2 linked regions of the Saccharomyces cerevisiae S288C genome follow. Changing the gene in region 1 together with any one later gene gives a genetic interaction. Each region holds a gene or a part of one and is shown in the gene's direction. Other genes may lie near its edges.

Region 1 (3,516 bases):
GGCCCGAAATATATTGGGATGGTTGGCAAAAAGACATGTGGATGAATACAGAGGGACCAGTTGATCATTGATGGATCCCACAAATGTAATCTTAACGTTATTTGATATGATTGTTCTTAGGCCTTCTATGAAGCTTTGCGATTGTTTGGAATCAAACTTTTGAAACTCGAATAACTCCCTCAATGAGTCTTTTTCAATCGTCTGGTAAGCACGAACAAACAAAGTTTGATCTGCACCGTAGAATGGACCATTATTGATACCTGCCATGGCCAAGACCGAGATAATTTTTTTGGACGAACAAAACTGAATTTCATCGTTGAAAAATTGAGAATTATCAAGGTTTATTATGCCGTTTTTGATCAGCTTCGCTAAAAGCATAATGGTTACCGGACACCCCTGCGAATGGCTAACAAAATAAATAAAATCAGAATTGTTTATTTCTTTGCTCCAATGCTTCATAACTTCGTAGAAGAAATCTACTCTATCAAATATCTCTCCTTCTCTTTCAAGAGCGATCTTGCTTATTTCAATGGGTACTTTATGTTGATCAAAATATTCCTTCACTATTTCCTCAGCTTCTGTGACAAACTTGGTAGATGTACCCGTTGGCTCACCAATAAACGGTCTAATAATTTTTGTTGGAAAGAACCCATGAACGCCGACAATGAGAACTCTGATGGGCCTAGATTGGTAATCTGATAGAAGGTTTATTTTTTTCCATGGATCAACCCTAAATAGAGATCCTCTGTTGTGTTCCAACCGCTCCTCATCTTTTGCCTCGTTTGCAACTGTGTTTGTTTCCTCTTTTAACTGATTTTGTGAGTGCTGCACCTGTTCTTCCCCCTCTCGTACCCTTGATGAAGGTCTTCTATCCCAGTATTCAGTCTTCCACTTCCAAATTGTGGATGTGACTGTATTCCATATGGTTTGTTTCGGTAAAATATCGAAACTTGGTACAACAATGTTAGGAAACTGATTGCCTATGTCATCTGTTAATTTCTTAGCAGTTTTGACACCTTTATCTCTGATCAATATAGCATCAGGTTTATAAGGTATGTAAGTGTTGGTTAGAGGAGCCGGATTTAGACTATTTGCTAAACGTGATAAAGTGTTATTATCCGCATCAGTGGGAATGTTATGCGTCGGCTCCGGATCTTTTTTGTTACGGCCCCAAAAGAATGGCCATGCTCGTGGTCTTGTGTTTTTTTCTACTATAGCTGCATTTCTGTCTTTTTTGTCCTTCTCACCCTTCTCGATCCTGGTGGTTTCCTTTAAAATCGTTGTTTGTTGATTATCGTGCAAGCGTGTTCCCTCATTTGAAACATTGTCATTTTCTTGACTGTTGTCTTGGGCGGTTTCCTTTCCTTTATTTTTATTAGATAACTCCGGTTCTTCCTCGTCATTACCTCCCCATATAGACCAGGATTTGGTTGTTCTGTGCTTAGGCTCACTAGGCCCCATACGACCAGACTGAGTATGTACTGAGCGCAGTGAGGTCGTTGAAGATTTCAGACTGCTTTTCGGCGAGGAATGCAATGGAGTCGTGACCATTCTACCTACTGGTACTCTGTATATAAGTCTCTTCCAATTCTTCGTAATGGTGTCTATTTGTAGTGCAAAAGTGCTATCCAAGAGCAGTGATAAGCCCACTATATGTATAAAGCCGAATCTAGTGACTGGTGGGAATAAAAAAGATAGTTTTCGAACTATTCTTATATGAACTTTCCATGGAATTACCTCACGTTGTTCACATTAGTGACTTGTAAAAAGCTTTACATATAAACTCAATATTTTCCCTATTGTCAAAACCTGGAATGTGTCCGCAACGCGTAATTCATCCATAATGATATATATTATCAGAAGCTGTACACAAGCCGTTCACATACATGTGGTGCATGAGAAGATTGCCAACAAATTCAGTTATGACGGTGGCTCGAAAGAGAAAGCAAACTACGATCGAAGACTTCTTTGGTACAAAGAAAAGCACTAATGAGGCGCCCAATAAGAAAGGTAAATCGGGCGCTACTTTCATGACCATAACAAATGGCGCAGCTATCAAGACAGAGACAAAGGCGGTCGCAAAGGAGGCAAACACGGACAAATATCCTGCTAATTCAAATGCAAAAGATGTATATTCGAAGAACTTGAGCAGCAATTTACGTACACTACTGTCGCTGGAGCTAGAAACGATTGATGATTCGTGGTTTCCACATTTAATGGATGAATTTAAAAAGCCATATTTTGTAAAGTTGAAACAGTTTGTCACTAAAGAGCAAGCTGATCATACAGTATTTCCGCCTGCAAAGGATATTTACTCATGGACCAGGCTAACGCCTTTTAATAAAGTTAAAGTCGTGATTATCGGTCAAGATCCCTACCACAACTTTAATCAGGCGCATGGCTTGGCTTTTAGCGTCAAACCCCCTACACCAGCACCACCGTCATTAAAGAACATATATAAGGAACTGAAGCAAGAGTATCCTGATTTTGTTGAAGATAATAAAGTGGGAGATTTAACTCACTGGGCTTCACAAGGGGTTTTATTGCTTAATACCTCGTTAACTGTAAGAGCACATAATGCAAACTCGCATTCTAAGCATGGTTGGGAAACTTTTACAAAAAGGGTAGTTCAGTTGTTGATCCAGGACAGAGAGGCCGACGGTAAGAGTTTAGTATTCCTCTTATGGGGGAACAATGCTATCAAATTAGTAGAGTCTCTGTTGGGATCTACTTCCGTTGGAAGCGGTAGTAAGTACCCTAATATCATGGTGATGAAGTCAGTGCATCCGTCTCCATTAAGTGCAAGTAGAGGATTTTTTGGTACCAACCATTTCAAAATGATAAACGATTGGCTATACAATACCCGCGGAGAGAAAATGATAGACTGGAGTGTTGTTCCTGGAACGTCATTAAGAGAAGTTCAGGAGGCAAATGCTCGCTTAGAGTCAGAATCAAAGGACCCTTGAATATTACTATTGCATATGCAGGTCTCGATTTCCAAACTCTTTAAAAGCATATAATAGATAAAAAACTAAATAGACTACTTTGTGGCACAAAGCAGAAAAGTGGATTGAATATTTTTCAATCTAAAAAGTAAATATTATACAACCAAATTGAGAGAGTAAGGAGAAGTAAGAAAAATAAATTGCTTGAAACCGGCAGAAAGGAAGCTTGAATATGGGTCAGGACGTGAAACATATCATTTTTTCAACGCTTCCTTTTGAGCGTTCAGTAAAGTGAACACTGGAGCATTCAACTTACTCCTGCCTTTCAAGAAATCCAACTCCATAACAAAGTTATATTCCAAAAGGTTGGCTTCGAGTTGTTCAACTAATTCGCCGGCTGCAGCAGCAGAACCACCAGTGGCAATAATGTCATCAACAATGATAACGTTGGAACCTGCTGGAATAGCGTTTTTCTGTATCTCAAAAAGATCAGAACCGTACTCCTTTTCGTACGTAGCCTTAAAACATTCGCCAGGTAGCTTACCTGCCTTCCTGACTGGAACGAAACCAA
Region 2 (3,601 bases), on another chromosome or scaffold:
TTAAGAGCAAAGAAAGGCGAAGGTTCCACCCATCTAAAAAAGAAGAAACAAAGATCCGCTACAGGTAGGGTTACCAAAAGATCGATAGCATTCAAGAAAGCTCAAGCTGAAAAGAGCAAGAAATAGTTTCATTAGTTTTCACACAATATCAATTTTGTTAGAGATACACTGTATATTATTACTAGTTATTTCTTATCTCTTGTAGCTTCCTCTATACATGCTGGCATTTTTTTACATAGTTCTAATAGTATAATATACATATAAAAAAGAAAAATCATGCGTTTTATATATTTCTATAAATACATTCATACCCAAATTATGGAACACGTTCGGAATATTACTTAAAGAATACTGCAATAATGGAAAGAATATTTGAAATGAATAAAAAGTATGATAACAAGGTTATAAGAGAGGTACAAATAAAATAAAACAAGGAATGAAGAAAAAAAGCACAAAAAAGGCAAGATAGTAATGCCTCACAGTATTTTGAATTCTGTTAGTAGAGGTATATGATCACTAGGATGGTTTTCATTGGGTAAACCCAACTGATTAGACGCTAGCAATTCGTCTGATACTTCATTACCGGTTAGGATCTTAGTTAGTAAAAAATCTGAATCATGGTACCATACGTAATCAAAGATGCCCTTCAATTTTCCTGAATAGCACGTATGTACAAAATAATCCTTTGGTATATCGTCATAGACACAACGATCCAAATACGGCCTCATTGGGTTAATAAGATTAAGGTCTCCATGGCTAACTATCTGACCTTGCAGAAAATTAACAACTAGCGAATCTCTTGTAGAATTTAGATCACCAGTGAATAAAATCTTCACCCTTTCTTGGCCTTTTACATCTCCCGGTAGGAGCTGCTTAATGATCTTTGATAACTCTCTCATTATAATCATGCATTGTGTTAGCTTAACTTCGTCATATTTCCAATACAAATGAGTATTTAAAACGACAAAAATAGTACCCGTCTCCTTATGTCTTAGAGATACGAATAAGCATACCTGATTCTTGCCTTTTAAAACATCCAATAAGCTGTCTTCACCAATAACATTGGAAGCACCATCGGTTAATGTTACCTTCTTATTGTATAAGTATTTCAGTTCCCTTTGATTGAAAACATTCAGTAGCTGGTTTAAGTAGATCCCTGATGACGATATAAAGTCAAATTTTGCAAGATTATAGAAAATAGATACACCGTCCATATCTTTAACCGGTTTTTTCCAATACTTTGGGGGTGTCTTGGAAATGAATTTGGACCCATAATTGACATCTACCCCTATGGAATCGTGCCAATAATCTTCATAATCTCTTGCGGTCATTTCTTGGAGACACATAATATCAGCCTTGAAAGTATTCAAAAGTTCTTTCTCCAGCAGTCTGTGCCTATAACTCCAGTTTTTGTATGGCTCTGCAACGTATGTGTATACCTGTGGCCACATATATGACGGTGAGAGCATGTTGTATGTTAATAAAGTGAACCTAGCATCTTTTCGCACATATTTACCGATGTTTTGCTTAGTTGACTGAACAACTGGAATAAACCTTCGAGTAAACATTGTTACTTGTATGAGCAGTAAATCTCTCTCCAATGTTCTTTTTTGCCGTTATCCAGCTTAGTTTGTGTAGATCTCCTTTCTTCTCTAACAGGAACAATTAAACAACTCATGGTTAATTTGTTAGTTTTGTTGCCGAGAAATCAAAATCAGCTGGTGAAGCAGTTATCCTAACTTGGGAATATACATGTAGTAGAAAGGAAGGAAGGCAAGGACCTCTTTAGCATTTTGAATCTGTTGCTTATTGGGAGCACACAAAAAATGTATAAGCACAACGTCTTTCACAGTATATAATGAGAGAGGAAAGTAGGTCTAGGAAGAGAAAGCATATTCCTGTTGATATTGAAGAGGTAGAAGTTCGATCTAAGTATTTCAAAAAGAATGAGAGAACTGTTGAGTTAGTAAAAGAAAATAAAATCAATAAAGATTTGCAAAATTACGGCGGAGTAAATATTGACTGGATCAAGGCACTGAAGCCAATAGAGTATTTTGAATGGATCGAATCAAGGACTTGTGATGATCCGAGAACTTGGGGACGGCCAATAACTAAAGAAGAAATGATTAACGATTCTGGGGCGAAAGTTCCTGAGAGTTTCTTACCCATATATAATCGGGTGAGATTAATGAGGTCCAAGGTTAAAACCCCGGTAGATGCTATGGGATGTAGCATGATTCCTGTTTTAGTTTCTAATAAATGTGGGATACCTAGTGAAAAAGTCGATCCAAAGAATTTCAGGCTTCAATTTCTTATTGGCACTATGCTTTCTGCTCAAACGAGGGACGAAAGGATGGCGCAAGCGGCTTTGAATATCACCGAATACTGCTTAAACACATTAAAAATAGCAGAGGGTATTACGCTAGATGGACTGCTTAAAATTGATGAACCTGTATTAGCAAATCTAATTCGATGCGTTAGCTTCTATACCAGAAAAGCCAATTTCATCAAAAGAACCGCACAATTATTGGTAGACAATTTCGATTCAGATATACCGTATGATATAGAGGGAATTCTCTCGTTACCTGGAGTTGGACCTAAAATGGGATATTTAACACTGCAAAAAGGTTGGGGGCTGATTGCCGGCATATGCGTCGATGTTCATGTCCATAGGCTGTGTAAAATGTGGAATTGGGTAGACCCTATTAAGTGTAAGACTGCCGAGCATACTAGAAAGGAGTTACAGGTTTGGCTACCTCACTCACTGTGGTACGAAATAAACACCGTTTTGGTTGGATTTGGTCAATTGATCTGCATGGCCAGGGGTAAGAGGTGTGATTTATGTCTAGCAAACGATGTCTGCAATGCTCGCAATGAGAAGCTAATCGAATCTTCCAAATTTCATCAATTGGAGGACAAAGAAGACATCGAGAAAGTATATTCGCATTGGTTGGACACGGTTACAAATGGAATTACAACAGAAAGACACAAGAAAAAATAGAACCACCATTCATTGTGGAAAAAGATGAAAAACCATTATGTATGTCATTAAAATAAGTAGGTAGGGTTTTATAAACTATTCAAATATTTCTCATATACTCGCTAGAAGTTTTAGCAACCCTACAATCTGGGGGTATACAGTGTGAAAGGCCGCTGGAACATGTTTGAAAATTGCCATCAATGACTTATATTTTTTCAAACATAAGAGTAGCAGCAGACCTGTGAGCAGAAGTCCGTTTTTGTTCAGCACACTTCTTGTGAAATGATGCTTCAGGACAGCCCAAAATGAACCAGCCAGAACAGTAATATCATTGTTTTTTTTACGGGGCGCCGTTCCAGTACTCTGGAGTCTACTATCAGTAGAGGTGCGTTGATTAAACGCATCCTCAACCTTAACCTGTTCTTCACTACTATTGTGTAACATAGGCTCGTGAAAATGGTGTATTTTCTGTTTCACTCCTCTTTGTTTACCTTTAGACTTCGCCTTATCTTTTTGTATTTTATTATCTATTGAGTTCAGAATAGCATCCTCTATGGAAACATCTTTAGATAAGTAAAGGCCCTTTAGGGTTGGAGATAACTTAGGTAATGTTTTGCAAAG

Evidence for each region.
Region 2: of UNG1 (region 1) and NTG2, changing one suppresses a phenotype caused by changing the other (phenotypic suppression), as found in Saccharomyces cerevisiae (one study listed by BioGRID).

The regions. Positions count from the first base shown.
Region 1 is NC_001145.3:229,184-232,699, reverse strand, and holds UNG1 (uracil-DNA glycosylase), read left to right. Parts: upstream 1-1,886; coding exon 1,887-2,966; downstream 2,967-3,516. Other genes in the region: YML020W (uncharacterized protein), read right to left, coding at 1-1,551; adenine phosphoribosyltransferase APT1, read right to left, coding at 3,200-3,516. UniProt on the Saccharomyces cerevisiae protein: Excises uracil residues from the DNA which can arise as a result of misincorporation of dUMP residues by DNA polymerase or due to deamination of cytosine. Not involved in strand-directed mismatch repair.
Region 2 is NC_001147.6:247,792-251,392, reverse strand, and holds NTG2 (bifunctional N-glycosylase/AP lyase NTG2), read left to right. Parts: upstream 1-1,858; coding exon 1,859-3,001; downstream 3,002-3,601. Other genes in the region: rRNA-processing protein NOP12, read left to right, coding at 1-126; NGL1 (RNA exonuclease), read right to left, coding at 477-1,568; PEX15 (Pex15p), read right to left, coding at 3,092-3,601. UniProt on the Saccharomyces cerevisiae protein: Bifunctional DNA N-glycosylase with associated apurinic/apyrimidinic (AP) lyase function that catalyzes the first step in base excision repair (BER), the primary repair pathway for the repair of oxidative DNA damage.